Kluyveromyces lactis: one gene and its partners. The protein of the gene in region 1 binds, or shares a complex with, the protein of each later gene. Links are inferred from orthologs where the notes say so. Each region holds a gene or a part of one and is shown in the gene's direction. Other genes may lie near its edges. The genes, in order: RSM28, MRP51, MRP10, MRPS16, RSM27, MRPS8 and RSM19.

What was found.
Region 2: RSM28 (region 1) and MRP51 share a complex: the UniProt entries of both Saccharomyces cerevisiae proteins name them as parts of the mitochondrial small ribosomal subunit. The link is inferred for Kluyveromyces lactis from reciprocal best matches to the Saccharomyces cerevisiae genes RSM28 and MRP51.
Region 3: RSM28 (region 1) and MRP10 share a complex: the UniProt entries of both Saccharomyces cerevisiae proteins name them as parts of the mitochondrial small ribosomal subunit. The link is inferred for Kluyveromyces lactis from reciprocal best matches to the Saccharomyces cerevisiae genes RSM28 and MRP10.
Region 4: RSM28 (region 1) and MRPS16 share a complex: the UniProt entries of both Saccharomyces cerevisiae proteins name them as parts of the mitochondrial small ribosomal subunit. The link is inferred for Kluyveromyces lactis from reciprocal best matches to the Saccharomyces cerevisiae genes RSM28 and MRPS16.
Region 5: RSM28 (region 1) and RSM27 share a complex: the UniProt entries of both Saccharomyces cerevisiae proteins name them as parts of the mitochondrial small ribosomal subunit. The link is inferred for Kluyveromyces lactis from reciprocal best matches to the Saccharomyces cerevisiae genes RSM28 and RSM27.
Region 6: RSM28 (region 1) and MRPS8 share a complex: the UniProt entries of both Saccharomyces cerevisiae proteins name them as parts of the mitochondrial small ribosomal subunit. The link is inferred for Kluyveromyces lactis from reciprocal best matches to the Saccharomyces cerevisiae genes RSM28 and MRPS8.
Region 7: RSM28 (region 1) and RSM19 share a complex: the UniProt entries of both Saccharomyces cerevisiae proteins name them as parts of the mitochondrial small ribosomal subunit. The link is inferred for Kluyveromyces lactis from reciprocal best matches to the Saccharomyces cerevisiae genes RSM28 and RSM19.

What each region holds. Positions count from the first base shown.
Region 1 is NC_006039.1:1,053,246-1,056,505, reverse strand, and holds RSM28 (mitochondrial 37S ribosomal protein mS46 RSM28), read left to right. Parts: upstream 1-1,473; coding exon 1,474-2,487; downstream 2,488-3,260. Other genes in the region: TPT1 (tRNA 2'-phosphotransferase), read left to right, coding at 353-1,063; CORVET complex subunit VPS3, read right to left, coding at 2,576-3,260. UniProt on the Saccharomyces cerevisiae protein: Component of the mitochondrial ribosome (mitoribosome), a dedicated translation machinery responsible for the synthesis of mitochondrial genome-encoded proteins, including at least some of the essential transmembrane subunits of the mitochondrial respiratory chain.
Region 2 is NC_006042.1:88,431-91,492, reverse strand, and holds MRP51 (mitochondrial 37S ribosomal protein bS1m), read left to right. Parts: upstream 1-1,282; coding exon 1,283-2,341; downstream 2,342-3,062. Other genes in the region: KLLA0_F01012g (uncharacterized protein), read left to right, coding at 1-721; imidazoleglycerol-phosphate dehydratase HIS3, read right to left, coding at 2,566-3,062. UniProt on the Saccharomyces cerevisiae protein: Component of the mitochondrial ribosome (mitoribosome), a dedicated translation machinery responsible for the synthesis of mitochondrial genome-encoded proteins, including at least some of the essential transmembrane subunits of the mitochondrial respiratory chain.
Region 3 is NC_006041.1:1,177,929-1,180,383, forward strand, and holds MRP10 (mitochondrial 37S ribosomal protein mS37), read left to right. Parts: upstream 1-1,521; coding exon 1,522-1,809; downstream 1,810-2,455. Other genes in the region: NPC2 (sterol transporter), read left to right, coding at 1-394; succinate dehydrogenase assembly factor SDH5, read left to right, coding at 711-1,202; FAD1 (FMN adenylyltransferase), read right to left, coding at 1,956-2,455. UniProt on the Saccharomyces cerevisiae protein: Component of the mitochondrial ribosome (mitoribosome), a dedicated translation machinery responsible for the synthesis of mitochondrial genome-encoded proteins, including at least some of the essential transmembrane subunits of the mitochondrial respiratory chain.
Region 4 is NC_006042.1:2,519,048-2,521,416, reverse strand, and holds MRPS16 (mitochondrial 37S ribosomal protein bS16m), read left to right. Parts: upstream 1-1,358; coding exon 1,359-1,721; downstream 1,722-2,369. Other genes in the region: mRNA-binding protein RRP12, read right to left, coding at 1-635; CIP1 (Cip1p), read right to left, coding at 2,247-2,369. UniProt on the Saccharomyces cerevisiae protein: Component of the mitochondrial ribosome (mitoribosome), a dedicated translation machinery responsible for the synthesis of mitochondrial genome-encoded proteins, including at least some of the essential transmembrane subunits of the mitochondrial respiratory chain.
Region 5 is NC_006041.1:1,440,330-1,442,892, reverse strand, and holds RSM27 (mitochondrial 37S ribosomal protein mS33), read left to right. Parts: upstream 1-1,669; coding exon 1,670-1,996; downstream 1,997-2,563. Other genes in the region: RPS0A (40S ribosomal protein uS2), read left to right, coding at 435-1,109; KLLA0_E16149g (uncharacterized protein), read right to left, coding at 1,343-1,507; GPI1 (phosphatidylinositol N-acetylglucosaminyltransferase), read right to left, coding at 2,211-2,563. UniProt on the Saccharomyces cerevisiae protein: Component of the mitochondrial ribosome (mitoribosome), a dedicated translation machinery responsible for the synthesis of mitochondrial genome-encoded proteins, including at least some of the essential transmembrane subunits of the mitochondrial respiratory chain.
Region 6 is NC_006041.1:141,080-143,603, forward strand, and holds MRPS8 (mitochondrial 37S ribosomal protein uS8m), read left to right. Parts: upstream 1-1,377; coding exon 1,378-1,845; downstream 1,846-2,524. Other genes in the region: AIM36 (Aim36p), read right to left, coding at 177-830; BUG1 (Bug1p), read right to left, coding at 2,178-2,524. UniProt on the Saccharomyces cerevisiae protein: Component of the mitochondrial ribosome (mitoribosome), a dedicated translation machinery responsible for the synthesis of mitochondrial genome-encoded proteins, including at least some of the essential transmembrane subunits of the mitochondrial respiratory chain.
Region 7 is NC_006042.1:666,489-668,911, forward strand, and holds RSM19 (mitochondrial 37S ribosomal protein uS19m), read left to right. Parts: upstream 1-1,641; coding exon 1,642-1,917; downstream 1,918-2,423. Other genes in the region: putative ATP-dependent RNA helicase DBP6, read right to left, coding at 1-1,374; type 2C protein phosphatase PTC6, read right to left, coding at 2,213-2,423. UniProt on the Saccharomyces cerevisiae protein: Component of the mitochondrial ribosome (mitoribosome), a dedicated translation machinery responsible for the synthesis of mitochondrial genome-encoded proteins, including at least some of the essential transmembrane subunits of the mitochondrial respiratory chain.

The sequences.
Region 1 (3,260 bases):
TTCTTTTCCTTCCCCGTCAGGTTTCGTGAACCAAATATGGGAACTTTATCATGTACATAACGAATTATGTTGGTCAACGGTCTCTATTATTTAATCAAACTCTATTTTATCATTTTTACTATGCAACTTCAAGGCGTTTACGTACGGTGCCTACAGTGCACATTGTAATTCCTAAGTTTACATCTATATATACGTTCGTGTGTGTCATCTGACTCATATTAGGTTCCATCCAATTATTTTTTCGTTGTCATATATATTTCATTCCATTAGTTATGTATGACCGATAGAGAACGACATGGTCAAAGCTATTGGGGAAAACAGAAAGTGCTAAGCTCGATTTAACTGAACCATTATGAACACCTCGCATTCGCAGGAACCTAAGGACAGAAGTGTGAAAATTTCGAAAGCATTGGCTTATTTGCTGAGACATGGTGCTGTGAAGGAAAACTTGCCTATAGATTCTGATGGTTACATTGCATTGGATAGAATACTGCAGCATAACAGACTCAAAAGCTTGAAAGCAACGTCAACAGAAATACAGCATATTGTTGCTAGTAATGACAAGCAACGATTTCATATCAAAACTGATCCGAATACAGGGATAATGTACGTCTGTGCAACACAAGGACATACATTGAAGCAAATTGCTCCATCGCAACACGTTTTAAAACCAATTACCAACATAGAACAACTATCAAGTAAATTGGTTCATGGCACCAACGTATCAAACTGCATTTCAATTCTTCACTCAGGTTTCATCAAAAAAATGTCACGGAACCATGTTCATTTGTCTCCCGGCATTACTGGAAAAGATACGGATGTCATCAGTGGAATGAGAAGTTCTAGTAACGTTTACATCCATATCAAAAGGATCCAGGAAATGCTAGACAGCCTCAACCTTGTGAAATCATTAAATAATGTTTACCTAACTTCTCAGGACATACCGTTGAAATTTATTGATTTCATCCAAGTACGGAAAGGCAGATCTGCAGCATCTAGTGAACAACTTCAACAGCTAAAAAAGTTGGCTACAGAGATGAAAGTTCCAATCGAGATTATCTGAAACGACTTGATCGCTTTATCTATACATATATATATCACCTCTTAATAATTAATTGACTTGTTTTAGACTTTCCACTGACAACATCAATTTTTAGACGAGGCATATCGCTGTATGTACTCGCCGTTGTATTAAGTTCATATCAAAACGTCAGAACCCACCGAATGTTGTATTCCTTCTGTCATCATAAGAAATTTAGATCACGTGTGTTTTTATCATTTTGAACGCCTTGAAAATTTTTGATCTTTCATAAAACCTATGAGAGTGCGAAACTCGTTTCAGTATGATGAACTTGATTAGTTCTTATGGTATCACGGAGATATTTAGGTATAGGGTTGTAATAAACCAGGTAACGCTATATCAAGTTGTGATCTGTTTAAGTGTGTGACTAGCATTAATATATTTACTTAATAATGCTAGCTTCTACATTCTCTAAAAGGGCTTATAGCTCTGTCTCTCCGGACTTTTTAGCATCAGTTTTGCAAAGAGTGAAGGAAGTTCCTATCAAGGCAAGAGAACCACGTAAACCAAGATCTGACAGAAAGGTGAGGTCAGCTGGGAGGGAAGATAAGAGACAAACAGCAAGATTTGATGACAGATCCGGAGGAAATAAACCCAGGGATAATAGACAAGTCCGTAATGGTCAAGACCGTGGTGGTAAAAATTTTAGAGAAAGAACACAAAGAACGGATACTAGAGGAACCAATGGCCCGGTAGTACAAACAGGTACGGCTAAAAGACAGACACCAAAGATTACCGGTACTAATGAGTATAGTGAGATTTCAGGCAAAGTTCAAAATTTGGGTACCAGACAGAATCGTAGAAGCGATGAAAGGAAAACTCGTAAAACCGTTCCAGGGTTGAAAATTTCCAGTAATTTGGGATCGGAAAACGTTGTGCAAAATATTCACAACTCGGCTGTATATGTTCCACAAGATCCAACACCGTTATCGTTGCTAAGATACAGACCTGCTCTGGCTCCAACTTTCAGTGCAAGGACATTCAGATATGCAGTTTCAACACTAAAAGACGCCGACTTCCCTGTGCATCGTTCATTGAATGATGGTGTCACAATTAATGGAAAGAACGTCAGTAAGCGTATGACAGCGAACAAAGACAACTTTGGTGAATACGTGCCAGCTTCCATTTTGAAATTGCAGGTGGAACCGTTGACAAAAAACATCCAAATTTCTCCGGATCTAGAAAAACTTGAGCAATCCGTCAAGGGTAGTTTCCACATTCTCAAGCCATACACAAAGAAGGACTTTGCCAAACTAACAAAAGCAGAAGACAAAAGAGAGCAACTTCTGCAAAATAGCGAAATTGTGAGAAAGAGTTTAGAACAAAGCAACTTGGCTTCAACTGAAAAAGAACTTTTGCAAAAAGTCTGTTCCGGTTTGGCACCAGTCTCTGAATTGACAGCTTGATTACAAGCCAGATCGCCTATAGACAAGATTAACCTCTATTTTTCATGTATATATTTTCACAATGCACTTAATGATATATCACACTATTTCACAGTTCTAAACAACGTTCGATATTGTTTATATTCTGAGTACGATGCCTTAAAATTCCTTTCTTAATCTGTAGATTATATGTTGATTCGTCTTTTCGTCTGAGTAACGGAAATAGGAAACCCGATAACACTGATATTTGAATGGTTGGGGGTATTTTTTCCAAAATTTCTATAAGTAGCCCAGAGTCGTTTATACAACACGTATTCTTGTTAAGGAATTGACTAATGACCCTAGTATTGTTGAGACTTAGATAGTGATCGATAACTTTCAGCACTACCTTATCGTTGGCTTGTAACAAGGACTCCACCGTAGCAAAATCATTCCGTGATAAATATATATCAAGTAGTTTTTCGAACCCGATCTTTTCCTTTAATACACTGATATCTGTGATCATGATTCGTAGAACGAAAGAAGCATCGATATCATCAATAATAGAACCTTCTTTTATATTTAAAGCCTTTTCTATTTTCAGAAGCTTGGTCCCTACATCGAAGCAACCCTCATATTCCTTTTTCTCACCCAGCTTATTTTTCAAATACTCTTTGAAAGGAGACTTGTTATATGTCATGTTGGTAATGTACTCCGTAATTGGTAAATTGGAACTTTCTATTAGCTTGCTGTTCAAAACAGTAAGTTTAGCTTTATAGTACTCGTAAAGAAATGTCAAATCTTGGGTGGAACTC
Region 2 (3,062 bases), on another chromosome or scaffold:
AACAACCAATGGTGTTAGGATAATACCTCATATTGTTAATGCAATTATTCTATTGTCTATTATTTCTGTCGCAAACAATGCGATGTATAGTAGCTCAAGAACATTACATTCCTTAGCTGAACAAGGATTTGCGATGAAATATTTTTGTAAATTGGATGAAAGTGGTAAGCCGTTTAGATGTCTTTGCGTTTCAGCATTTACTGGTTTATTTTCATTCATAGCCGAATATAAGGACCAGGAAACAGTCTTCGTTTGGTTATTGTCAATCAGCGGTCTTTCCACTATCTTTACTTGGAGTATGACCTGTGTGTCTCATTTGAGATTCAGAAAGGCAATGAAAGATCAAGATCAAGCTTTAGACCAATTAGGATATCAATCACCATGTGGTGTATATGGCAGTTACATCTCGTTGTTTATTTGTGCCATTATTTTGATAGTACAATTTTGGGTATCATTGTTTCCTTTAGAATCCAACGGTAGGCTGAATGTCGTCTCATTCCTTCAAAATTATATGGCTGTTCCAATTACCATCGTACTTTACCTTGGTCATAAAGCTTACACAGGGAACTGGAAACCTTTTATTAGAGCACCTGAGATTGACATTCAGACCGATCGTGACATCTACTGTGTTGATGAGGTTACTGGAAAAAAATCAGTTTTTGTTGAGCTTCTGGATAGCGGAGACATGTGCTCGAAACTATCTGATAACCTTGTCAAGTAGTACAAACATTTCTACGAAACTGAGGTTCTCATACAGTATCGACTAAACCAAGGAACTGTTGATATGAAATTATTACGAAAAAATGAATAGTTTTCTGTAGTAAACAATATAATAAATAATGCAATTGAAAAAAAAATTTAAACTCAACACCGATTTCTGATTATGGGAAACCCCTCATAGAAGACTTATGTTATACTGGTGCTGATCTCGTTTTAAATATTAGCATCACTTAAGAAACCATTCTTCCTTTAAAATGAGTACTAAATGTGACACTTTCATCAATGGTCTGTCGCAAGTCCGGGTAAAATGTTACGTTTCTAATGATAAAAAAATTTCGATATCATTGAATAGCATTCAATTCGATAAATCTTAAACACAGCTCAGCTACTGATTTTGACTGAAGAGCTAAATTAGTTCCTATCGTCGACTATTGTGACAAGGTTCCAAAACTATCAGCAATTCGTTGAATAGATAATTCACTTTTTGGGTTTAAACTGGGCTGTTAGTCCTTAGCTTGAAGACAGATATACTTACTGAATTCACAATTCGAAATAGAAAGCTATGTCCCATATATCTAATTTGTTAAAAAATTCCAGGATAGCACAAGTGGCAAAGACGGACAAGCCATTGTTTCGTCCAGGTAACTCTTCTCATCCAACTCATCAAGTGATTGAGACCAAGCCATCCTCCTTATATCGTCAGGAATGGGGTTTGAAGGCAAGCATTCCATCGAAAATCAAGACCAGATATTTGGTTTACAACGATTTGGACACCCAACAAAGACTAACGACTTTTGAACCAATGGGTCAATACCAGTGGAACAGAATCAGATTCCAAGAAATGGGGTTAGCCCCTCGTTACGTTGAAGAAGAATCCAATCCTCTATTCAATGGGAAAACCAAGAGGGCCGGAAAATACGCGCCATTCAGCAATGCTGTGAACATTGCTCATAACACTGCGCCTTCTGAAAAGACAAGAAAGTTGAAAGAAATTGACCAACACAGATCAGAATTCAAGAAGTGGCTGTTAGAGAAACACCCGGATTCCATTGCTGGTGTTAGAAATGAAAACACCAGACCTTTGAAGGCTTTAGCTACTGAATTCTTACATGAAAAGATGGGAAAGTTGAATATTAATACAGCAGCTAACTCGGAGTGGCACATTGTGGGCACCGGTGGTCTAACTTACAACTTGAAAGGTAGACTTAGACAATCTCCAAATGGTGTAAAACAAAAGCACGTTGTGCCAGGCAGAGTTTTATCTGTCCAGGGACCTGATCGCGCAGTCGCTGTTGGTGGTTTCATCGCTGAAGCTAAATCTGTGGGCCGTAATCCTCGTGCTCTACAATACAACATGGGTGATTTTGTCAGACAAGAAGTTTTACCATTTGCCATTGAAGATCCAAAGGTAGAAGGGGGTAATGTAACATTGTCTGCATCTTTAGTAGAACCAAGAAATGACTTCAGTTTTGCTCAGAAGATCGGCTTAGGTCAAAGCAGATCACATTATACCAGATCCGATTCCAGAAACTCTTCAAGAAAAACTGTAAGATCTGTCACCGCCGAAGAATCTAGATCTCAAAGTGAAGAGTTCCTAAACTTATTAAAGACAACCATGTAAGTTGATATATGGTAGGTATTACACAACCATAGCTAGAAGTCACTTGTAAATAAAACGTAATAAATACAGTCATGTTACGCGGAAGACGGAGCTGTGCGTCAAGCGGTTAAGGGCCGTGCTCGTAACTTAAATGGAACAAAATGGATGAATATATATTTGATGTAAACTTAAAATGAATGTCGCGCATATGCAATGAGAGTCCACTCCTTTCTTGAAAAGGAATTTTACATTAGAACACCCTTAGTAGAAGGAACGTCGTTGGTTCCGTTGCTTGAAATAGCCTCTTTGATTGCAATGGCAAGTGCTTTGAATGCAGATTCACTTCTGTGATGGTCGTTAAAGCCTCTCAAACAATCAACGTGCAAAGTTATTCTCGCGGCTTCAGCAAAGGACTCCAAGAAATGAGGTATCATCTCGCATGAAAGGTCACCGATCTTTTCCCTCTTCAACCCCAACTCTATTACTGCGTATGGTCTATTGGATAGATCCACAACAGCACGTGATAAAGCTTCGTCTAATGGTGCATATCCTGAACCAAATCTTTTCACACCACGAACATGACCCAAAGCTTCCTTAAAGGCTTGGCCAAGAGCAATACCACAATCCTCGGTGGTATGATGGTCATCGATATGCAAATCTCCAATACATTCAACAATCAAAGACCAGCCTGAATGCTTCGCAAGAGCATGAATCATGTGATCTAAAAACCCAACGCCTGTCT
Region 3 (2,455 bases), on another chromosome or scaffold:
TTTATTGCAATGTGATGTTGACCAATCTCAATCGCTTGATGTTACTCAAGTAAACTTGGTCCCCAACCCACCACAAAGAGGTGAGAATTTGACTATAGCTGCTGCAGGTGTCCTACAAACCACTATCGAAGAAGGTGCATACATCGACATCGAAGTTAGATTAGGTTACATCAAGTTAATCTCACAAACCTACGATTTGTGTGAACAATTGGAGGAGAACGACATCGACGGATTGAAATGTCCAATCGAGGAAGGTGTCTACGAGTTGAACAAGATCGTGGAGATCCCTAGCGAGGTGCCACCTGGCAAATACTCTGTCATTGCTAGAGCTTACAACGTCGACGATGAACAGATCACGTGCCTAACTGGTGAAGTAATCTTCCCAGCGTACTAGACACACCTGTCACAAAGGCTACCTGTCTCTCACTGACCTTACCCAGTGTGAGCCAAGTATAAGGTCTCCTCCTATAGCGACGTTGCAAAGCTGTGGAGTTCTAGGTCCATGTACACGTGACCGAACCGATTACGGCACCTTTTTACCCGTCTTGCTATATATAATATTAATTGAATCACAATTTGAATTGGTTGATCTCTCTCCTCCGTTACCCCAGGTTAGGAAGAGGTCCTAATTTGTATTACATATATCTAGTATACCCTCCTCTATACTATCCCTACCTGTCCAGTCAACAAACGACCACTGTCATCTAATAATGCTAAGAACTGTCTTCAACAAACCATCAGTGTTGAAATCTGGAGTTAACTCGATTACAAAGCAATGCCGTTCTCTTCACGCAAATGCTTACTTGTTGAACAAGGGCAACAGCAACGGTGCTGAGGGCCAAGATGACGATGTCACGGTGAGAATCAGAATCCCACCTATCAAGAGAACCGGCGAGTCTCTAGACAAGAAGCGTGCTAGATTAATTTATCAGTCCAGAAAGAGAGGTATTCTGGAAACAGACTTACTTTTGTCACGTTTTGCTGCTAAGTATTTAAAGGAAATGACCCCAGAACAACTAGAAGAGTACGACCAGTTGTTGAACGAACTAGATTGGGATATCTACTACTGGGCCACAGAAAACTATTCCATTACACCTCTTCCTGACAGATGGAAGAACTCCAATATTCTAAAACAATTGCAAGAGTTCAGTAAGAACAAGGATCGTGAAATCCTAAGCATGCCTGATCTTTCCAAATACTGAACATCAGCGGTATACGTACTTGCCAATTAAGCAACAGTATAGTCTATAGCTCTTATTTTATACCCATATGCTCTCTCTCCCTCTGTCGCGGCAGCTCATCATTTCCAGGGCAGGCCCAAGTGAAAAATTTAACCCGTACACCGCATACTTAGATCCAACATTGGCGAAAGTCTCAAAAATTTTGTTAAGATCATAAAGAATGATATCGTTTATATGATGGAAAATATCATAAATGTAGTCGCGTAGTCCGTTCTAGAGGTCTTGTAAGGTCGTGTTGCGAAGGGTACGTCCAAGATATCAAGTGTTCATATATTAAAGCATGTCCAGTAAGACTCCTCTTTATAAATTACCACCTCTTCCCAGACTTAAGGTGAAAAAGCCAATTATTCAACAAGAGGCTAACAGATGCTTGGTATTGATGTCCAATCTATTACAATGCTGGTCTTCTAACGGACACATGTACGGTGCATGTGAGACATTGGCCCAAGATTTGAAGGCATGTACCGCGGAAAATGCCTTAGGTAAGAACCAAAAAGTCCAGAAGAGTAATATCAACTATCATGCTGCTAGATTGTACGATAGAGTTGGTGGAAAATCTCATGATTAGAAAGAAGCAGACAGACTTTCTCCCCCTTCGTTATCACTTGTACATAATACCATTTTCTAATATTACATATATCATCTAAAATCAAGGAATTCACGATTTATTAAATATGATAGAGATTTTTGTAGCTATTTGTGAGTGGATTCATCTCAAACTTTTCTGGCGAGTCTGCCAGCTCTTTCCCACTCGTCTTTCGTTAGATACCATCCCGGATGGAACTCAGATGAATCATGCTGTTTGATGGTATTAAGGTCATTCTCGTTAATTTCGTTACAATGCATGTTAGAATCTCCTCTGTAATTGTTTTCAATTTCCCATTGGAAATCGCTATGTTCAGTCTCGGCCTTTGTCATGGAGCCTATAGGTTCTGGTATCCGTAGGTATGGATTTCTCAATGTGTTGTTTACACTGCCCAATGAAGTGAATCCCATCTCATATAATCCGCATACTTCTTCTCCCGAATACAATAGGAAACTCCATATCTGTGAGAGATTCCAATGTAGCAACGGTTGCAACCTGTAGAACTGGGGCCAACTGGGGTCCGTCTTTTGAATTGGTTGCAACGTCTCCCCAAATGGATCTGTGTGTCTAATGCCGATTACTATTGCCTGAGTCTCTGGATGTACCGATAAGAACGACTTGAAGGCAC
Region 4 (2,369 bases), on another chromosome or scaffold:
GATACCAATGCATTAATAGCGAATGCTGAGATCAAAGGTGATGCGACGTGTTCTGCTGTTGGACCAGGTGGAGGGTTTTTTAGAATGTTGGTAATTGCATCCTGTGCTCTCTTCCTTACTTTTGGTCTTGGATCTAGAGATAGCTCAAGTAGACCATCCAAACCTCTTGTTGGAGTCACCTTTAAATTTTGAGTGTTATTCCACGTTTGCGTATCCTGGGCAATTAACAAAGCTTCTAAACAACCAAGAGCGGATTTGATCAAAGGAGCGTTAGCCTTTTCATCAGTAATACATGGGGCAACTTTAATCAAAATATCAGCAAACCTGCTCTTTAATATTTTCTTTGGTGTATAATGAAAAATGATGTCCAACAAATACATCGTTGATGTTGCTAATTGTAGATCTTTAATGGCCGCAGTTTCTGTATCGATAGTTTGATCCAGCAAGGACATCAAAGAAATAAGATAATTCACGATGTTCTTATTAATTGCCTCTTGCTCATTAATATTTTCTTCAATAGCAGCCAAGATTATGGCAATGTGCTTCTGATTCTCTAGTTTTGATGTAGATTGTCCTCTGATTTTAGCAAGCTTATCTTCAAGTTCAAGAAGCTTGGACGCTTGTTCAGGACCCATATTGCACAATTTGTTCGCTTGTCAGTTTTCAATCCCAAGTTAAACTCAGTAATTCTCTTTTCTGAGGTGTTGTTGATTATAACTCGTCTCTACTTGTTAGATGAGATGAGCGATGAGATGAGCTAGATTGAAAATTTTATACAGCTTGTGAAAAATTTCTTTTTAAGCCCTTAGTGATGAAGCAGCAAGGATCGTGAGGCAATGAAGAAAGCAGAGAATAAAAAGTAAATAAATTTTGGTTAATATATGCCAACTCTGTATATATGCGTCTGCTAAACGGGTTCAAGAACATACTATTTCATTATTTGTGTCGTTAACTTTCTTTACTGAATGCGATGTTATTTGTAATGCCAAGTCGTTTTATATGACTGCATTTTTGGTAAACTAATTCCCACCGTCAGTCTAACTCCAGTAAATAAACACTTTCTCACTTATAGATACTTTCTCATAGATCAACTTCCTATACTATTAGGCTGTAATGTCGCCATAAACGCCTAAGACGAATGTTGCTCATACGGCTGTTAGATATCCCACCTATATCACGTGATAGACATGCTTTATTTAGTTGGTGTTGAAAATCCTTCGAAAGATAGAAAAAAAAATTCAATCAACATTAAAAGCGTAATAACAGGACAAACATATTATGTATCAAGACGACCAGAGCGAGTAAACCAAGTCTCTTAAACCAGAATTTAACGCCAAGTTTGGTGAAATACAATAATCATGACGAAAGGTTTGGTGAGGATAAGACTAGCTAGATTCGGAAGGAAACATACCCCAGTATACAACATAGTTGTTACCAACAAACATAAGGCGTTGAATAGGAAACCAATTGAAGTATTAGGAACATACAACCCAATCCCAAAACCATTAACGAAGAAAGAGGTTAAACAAGGTGTTGTTCCTACTAAAGATGTGGAATTAGACTTCGGAAGAGCTAAATACTGGATCGGTGTTGGTGCTCAACCTAGTGATACGGTAACAAGACTATTGAGAAAAGCTGGAATCCTGGATGAAAATTGGGGAAAGACCTACACAAGTAGTAGGGTTGTTATTGAACCTAGGAAAGAAGTCTTTGAAGAATAGACCAGCTGTTCCGATTACTGTATTAAAAGCGGTATATCAATAATCAGGGCATAAATCACCATCTCCCAAGGCTTTCTTACGGTCAAGAACTCATGTATATAGGCTTAAATTGATAAGAGGAATTCGGGCACTTTTTCCGGTCATAAACCAATGTAGTAGTTACATACACTTAACAGCTTGGCCCCATGCGGTAAAATTGAAGTGATTAAATTTACATATCACCATATATAAGATGCTATCAGGTAATTCTACACAATAATAATAATCGTCATCAGCATATATTTCCCTGAATGAGGGAAGTATCATCGAGGAATACTGACTGTTAAACTATGTGATTTCCGAAAATTCATAAATATTAACAAAATTACAAGAACAAAAAGATGGTTTATGTTATGTTTTTGTGAATGAGTGAGTGAATGTCTAACTTCTCAAGTATTTAATAGGTATGTTTGGTGTAATGTTCAGGTTTGTATTGGAGATTAGTGCTCATGATGTTACATCGAGTCAAATTGTGTTCCAGTGCAACTATAAATTGGATTCATTTTCTATATGTGTGGGTAATCTATTGTTTCGTTCATCAGGCTGTTGACCAGCAGCAGCAGTATTTGTAGCATTTGAAGTTGAGTTCAAAAGAGTATTTACGCTTGC
Region 5 (2,563 bases), on another chromosome or scaffold:
CGGTGCTACTAACTAAATGAGTGCTGATGTCAAGGATAATGGCTTCACTCACAAGAAAGAATATGCAAATATTTATATTTGTTGCTCTTTACCTAACAGCATAGAGGATATACGTACGTTAAACATTCTATTTCCCCTCGTTATTTCAATTCTGATTCCCTTCGAACAAGGATATCAGACTGAAGTACGAGAGGATATGGTTTTAACTGAATCTGTTAAAAGAACAACAATTGAAATGGCCTGCCATTTCTAGGGAACTAAAATAATAATAAAAAAGTACACGAACATCTCCTCTATCATATGGTAATATCTGCACTTCGAAAAGTGTATCCTGTCGCATGTTGCGGTTGGGAAAAAGCTCTCTCTTTACTAACAATATATTTTTAACTTTTGCGAACGAAACGTTTGCATGGTTATTTTTTAATTATTAACAGGTTCACCAAGAACCATACGTCTACAAGGCTAGACCAGATGGTGTCAACGTTATCAACGTTGGTAAGACCTGGGAAAAGATTGTTTTGGCTGCCAGAATCATTGCTGCCATTCCAAACCCAGAAGATGTTGTTGCTATCTCTTCCAGAACTTATGGTCAAAGAGCTGTCTTGAAGTACGCTGCTCACACCGGTGCTACTCCAATTGCTGGTAGATTTACCCCAGGTTCTTTCACTAACTACATCACCAGATCTTTCAAGGAACCAAGATTGGTTATCGTTACTGACCCAAGATCCGATGCTCAAGCTATCAAGGAATCTTCTTACGTTAACATCCCAGTCATCGCTTTGACCGATTTGGACTCCCCATCCGAATACGTTGATGTTGCTATCCCATGTAACAACAGAGGTAAGCACTCCATCGGTTTGATCTGGTACTTGTTGGCTAGAGAAGTCCTAAGATTGAGAGGTGCTCTACCAGACAGAACTCAACCATGGGCTATCATGCCAGATTTGTACTTCTACAGAAACCCAGAAGAAATCGAACAACAAACTGCTGAAGAAGAAGCTGTTGCTTCCGGTGAACAAACTGAAGAAGCCGTTGACGCTACTGAAGAACAAACCGAAGCTGCTGAATGGGCTGAAGAAGGTCAAGCTCAAGAAGAAGAATGGAACTAAACTTCAAGAATTCTTTAACTGAATTCCTGGAAGTTATTCCACCTTTTTTTTTGTTTAATTCATCATTCTATAATATAGATTCAATGCTTAGCATACTATCATTGTTATTATTATAGCTTCATGCAACAACTCTCAACCATCCGCTCATATTTTTAACTATTTTTACTAGTTTTTAAAACTCCACATCGTGTATAATTTTAATATCATTATTGATCCAGGCTAGTACCCGATAATTATACAAAGAATTGAATATTATTTAATTGATTGAACGTGCCAACTGAATATTTCCCCTTCAATGGTGCTTCAGTACCCAGTATGGCAATGTGACCCTTCTCGCATCTCTCATCGCTCTTATCCTCATCATGGTGATAATTTCCTGATAATGAAAATTTGAACATTGGAACATTCGAAAAAAAACTGAGCTTGCATAAAATAGAAACCTGCTGCAGAAGTAGTAAGTGAAAGTACCAATAAATAGGTCTTAGGTGTGCTTTAACTCTCAGCGAACTAGTTTGCGGGTTGTTCCATCAGTTATCACTCATATTTTCATATTTTGAGAAATGTCTGTACCCAAATCTAGGCTACTGAAGCTTGCTGAGATATCAGCCAAAGTTTTTGATCAAAATTTCAATCCAACAAATGCCAGAACTGGGTCTAAGATCCTAGCACAGAGGCTTAAAGGACCTGCTATTGCGAATTATTATGGTAACCCAGATTTTATCAGATTCAAGCAATTGAAGAAACTATATCCAGGCATGAACTTCGTTGATGAAGAAGAACAATATAGATTGACTATGCTTGAACTAAGAAAGCGTAGAGGTAAGGGTGCTCCAACTAAGAAGAGAGAGGCCTCTGGTGACGGTAAAAAGACCAAGAAGAGAAAGTGATCAAAATGAGCCCAGCCTATCCTTTTATCCCACTTAAAGGGACTTGCAATTAACATTTCCATCATATAAAAATACCTTGTATATAAATTATATCAGTCAGTTCAAATAGACCCAAGAATTTAACGAATTTCAACTATGTTTTTATTAAATACGAATATTCAAGTAAGATTCAAACTATGCAATCTGTGCCATTAATTGTGGTTGTGAGAGGGGTTTATATCGTATCTTGTTCCATTACCATCTTTAACTTTTTCCATAGTAAATCGATATCAATTGGATGTCTCGGTAGATTATGGTACAAAACACGATAGAGTTCATCTCTTCGTACATTAAGAACTGATCCCTGACTCACCATCTTCAAAGTCTCAACCGAGAACATCTGTCTTTGAATGGATTTCATGACGTTTGTGAATGGTTCAAAGGTCATGAAAAAGCTGATTGGATTATTCGATATTAATAAGTGATCATCATATACTTTGAACTTGATACCACCAGGTAACCTTTTAGCATCTTTTATCCGTAAAAGCAATGCAAATAAAGGGAAATGGTTGATAAGGGCCAAACTTA
Region 6 (2,524 bases), on another chromosome or scaffold:
TTTTTATTCGAAGCATATCTACATCCCACTATTCACAACGTACTTCTGCTGAATGGCAATTAGATACTGATGATATTTACAAAGTTTAATCGAGATAAAGTTGGATGGATTGTTATAGGAAGTCCCCAGATATATGCAAAAGGGTGCCGATGGGGAAAATGGCATGAGGGGTCATTTTAGATGGTCTCAACTTTATCCACGGTTTTAAAGTATTTGGAAACCTGGCCGTCTCCTTCTGAATTTGGTACAATAACTTTGTCGATAACGGAAACCTCATTTTCGAACTTGATCGCATCTTTTATATTGTCTGGGAAGTCAAGTAGATAAACAGTGTCACCCTTTTGACATTTCTCCTTCATATATTTACCTATCAAGACGACAGAGAGACCTGTTGGTAGTTTTTCCATGTACGATTTCCCCTCCTTTTCATATAAATCATTTAAAAGCACATAATATTTATCGTCAGACTTATTTCTGAAGAATTCAATAGCTTCTGAAGGTTTGATAACCTTCGCATCTTCGGGGAATTTCAGTTTCTTGGTTGCAACTCCGGTTTGCACACATCTTAAATTTAAATCATCTTGCTCAAAGATCGAAACTCTTCTTCTTAGACCACTCATCACAGTGTCAAATTCAGAGAATGTGTACGTGTTTTTAGGCTTGTTCTGTTCCAAAGAGTCGACTGCCTTAACAAAAATAGCAGTCCCAACTAAACCAACAAGTAAAATGGTTTTAAAACTTGGTGGTTCTTCAGCTTTATCCATTTTTCCAGACAGCATCCGGCGCATGACCGGAGACTTCAATAATCTTGGTGCAGCGCGTACGAACATATCGGCCTTGATCTTTGTATAGTGCAGCAGATAGCTACTGATGAGATTGGCTATAGGCCTCGTAGTGAAACAAAGAAGCAATCCTAATTAAAATGTCATAACATTCCGGATCTTCTCCAGCAAGCTATATTGAAAGATCTTAAAATGTCATTGACGAAATATTTCCACAGGTTTGATAGAAAAGTGATAAGGTACAAAACAAAAGAGAAGAGGTAAGGAGATTGCCATTATAGGACCCTGGCTTGAGAAGGCGTACAGTTAGAAGATTATATGAAACTGCATCTAGCAGCTTACTTCCAACACTGCTTTCGCTTCATTCTAGGCTGATAAAGACACCGTTGGCTATTTCTTTCCAAACACTGACGGTGTGATGTACGGGTGGGATATGTAGATATTCTAAAAATTTTCTGTTCACCAAAATTTGGGCTATACACATGAGATGAAGGACAACTCTTCAATGATAAACTGTTACCGGGTTGGCCTCTCCAATCAAGGAAAAACGATCCTCATTAAGCTTCCATAACAATTGTGATACACTTTGTCAAGAATGTCATTAGTGAATTTGGGTAATGTTTGCGCGCACTTGCAAAACTGTTCCCGCGCAAGAATTGGTTTGACTTCAATCCCATATACAAAGTTACACTTGAACTTCGCTTATAACTTATACAAGCATGGCTTCTTATCCAGTTTACAACGAGGATCTACTAAGGGCCCAGATGTCACACCGGTAGACGTAACGCCAGATAATATCGCTACTAGAAAACTGTGGTTGGGTTTAAAATACAGGGAAAACAAGCCAGTTATTTCTAGTTGTAGATTGATATCAAAACCAAACTTGAGAATCAGTCTAGATGCACATGATTTGAAGAAACTATGTTCAGGTACCTCCGTCAGATTGATCAAACCTTTGGCTCCTGGTGAATTAATTTTAGTGAAATCTGGGAATGAAATTATGGATATCGATGATGCTATCGCCAAGAAAGTCGGTGGTGAAGTGCTATGCAGAATTAGGTGAATCATCAGTAAAATTCCCAGCAATAAAGACCATTAGTCATATAATCAAAAACAAAGTGCAGAATATTTCATCAACATGTGTGATGGACCATCGAAACTTCCAATATCATCAAAAGGAAATCCACCTCATATTCCATGTATATAGTAACATTCAATCAGTGCGATTTTCCTTTTAGCGACAATCATCAATCGTGTCAAATATCAGTTTTATACATACACTAATATAATTGTATACTTGTACATTATAGCATTATATTTGCCTAAACGAGACAAATGAGACAAATCATAAAAAAATCATAGCTCTGTGGTAATAGTAACAAGGCTGAAACTTACTTAAAATTCCACAACTGGGCCAACACCAACTGATCTCCAATTTGTCATATCGACATTCCAGTTCTTCCACTTAGCTAACATAACAGGGTCTGTCGTTGGATGCTGAATCTGTCTCGATGGCTCGAATTTGGATGGAGAATGTCTATCAAAGGAAGAGAATTCCACAGGGGTTAGTTGTGGTGATTGTGTTGCTCTAAGCTGCTCTACTTCTTGTCTAGACGTAGATAGCTCCTGCTGAGCGGACAGCAATTGTACAGTTTTATCATTGAGTTGAGATTTCATGATGTTTATCTGTTCTTCAAGCTCTTCTATGGAGCTTTCTTGATCTATGTTGACAAACTTCAATT
Region 7 (2,423 bases), on another chromosome or scaffold:
ACTCTTCACAAACACTAATATTTTAGCGTTTCTCGAAGCACTGCTCTTGATGTCGTGTATTATTCTTAGTAAGAGTAGTGGCTTGAACAGACTCTTAGCAGTAGGAATATTGACATTGAGTTCTTGCAATTTCTTAGGTATTGAATATAATTTAACAGAATCTGTGAGGAAGATCTTGGGGTTGTGGAGATACAAATTGTACAACTTTTCTGCATTCGTAGTCAAAGTAGCAGAAAAGACCATTTTGATTACGTTTCCTGGACGTTTATCCTGCTTATCGTTTGTCAAATGGTGGAAAAGCACTTGGTTCCAATTTTGGAATGACTGATTTAATAGTCGGTCTGCTTCATCAAGGACTAAGAACTTCAAAGTTTTTAGGTCAAATGATTCCATCTGCAAGTGATCGACCAGTCTGCCCGGAGTGATGATTAGAATGTCTGGAGAGTTATACAAAAATTTGTTGTGTTCTTCTTTCAAGGAGTTCTCGAGTTTCGACATTGATACATTGAGACTGGTCCCTTGACTTAGTTTAGAGAGACAATCGTAGACTTGATGAATTAAAATTTTAGTAGGAACCAAAATTATTGCCCTAACTTTATTCACTGTTCTAGATCTCAAAATTTGAACCAAAGGGACAGAATATGCTAAGGTCTTACCGGAACCAGTTGATGCGTTTACTAATATATCACCAACTCGTCTTGTGAAAAGTTTTCTGTTTGCTTTAAAAGATGAGTTTAGAAGCGGGAGCACTTTATCGAATAGAATGGTCTGAATAGGGAACGTTTCAGATGAGAAATTGGAGGTAATATTTTTAAGCAGACGTGCATCTAATTCACCTTCGTAGCTATCGAATTGTTTAACCATTTTACTATCGTAATGAATTTTGGTTGCTGCATCCCACGCAGTGGATTTATATGTAGACGGATCTAGAAGCTTCAAGGCTTCATTGGTCACTTTGGCCGGTTGAGGAATTGGGGTAAGACTGTGAACATCTTTCATGGATACGTCCTCATCGTGTACATCGTTGTCACTACTGACCTTGTCTGAAGCGCTCAACGCACCTTGCAGGGAAAGAGTCTGTTGAAATCTATTTAATACGGAACTGTGCTTTGCATCAACTGATTGCTGAGAAGTTTCTGTAGGCGCAACAGATGCAACCTTGTTTTCATCTTGCTCACTAATTGTATCGGAATCATCCTCACTGCTGGAAGCATCATCCTCACTGCTGGAAGCATCGTCCTCACCAGAGCCTTCATCATCAGTTTCCGCATCTCTTTTCCTCTTTTGGGGCACAGTGGGTTCTTTTATTTGTGTGACTTCAGCTGTTAGTACATTTTCAGTCACCTTAGTAGGATCAAACCTTGCAGCAAACATGTTATTGACTGGATGCTATCGTTATGCTGTCGCTATGCTGTTACTGACCTTCTAAATTCCTGAAGCTCATCGCATCATATTACATCTCATCGCCATTCGTCTATTATTTTATTTCAGAACGGAATTCATAAAAAATTTCAATCTGTAAAACTTGAAATAACGACAAGATATAATAGAGTTAAGTCACTACCATGATATCAGTCAGCCAAAGGTTCCAGCAGTTAGACAAATATCTCGCGTCTACGATAACACTCATAACGTCATAAAATGTTCCCGTCATTGAGATTACTATCACGTTCTGTATGGAAAGGTCCAAATATAGTCCCATTACCAATAAAAGAAGCATTGGCCAAAGGTACGCCCATTAGAACAAATGCCAGATCTGCCACCATATTACCTCAATTTGTCGGACTGAAATTCCAAGTGCATAATGGTAAGGAGTATGTCGCGTTTGAAGTGACAGAAGATATGGTAGGAAGTAAGCTAGGAGAATTCGTACCAACAAGAAAGAGATTCAGTTATACTCAAACTAAGAACAAATGATTTGACATTTATGAAAAGCACAAAGTTAGTCAGACAGCAGCATGTATATAAAATCACACCTGGAAGTTCATGTACCACCGTGTACTCCATACGTAACTGTATCTATTACTAAGAAATGATTTATTGAACAAGTGCTCTCGATTAATTGGGAGTTAATGGTGTTTCTCATTGTTAAATAGATGCAAATGTTAATCATAACGAGTACTATATATAATAATTGAAGTAAAATAGAATATACACTCTTTACTTGAGGTTTCTTTTGAATTTAATTTATGATTAAGTTTGTGGACTTTTTTCAACCACTAGATCTTTCTCCACCGGATACACCACTTAGTAGCTTTTCCTCTCTAATCGCACCAGTGCGATCAATGACAGGCCAATTTCCCCAGTTCGGTAACCGCAGAATTACGCAAGTAGCATTATCAGAATGTTTAGAGCTAATAGCCATAACATATTGTAAAACTTCCTGAGCACAGAAGTGTGGAGAAGCAGTTTTCAAACCTCTA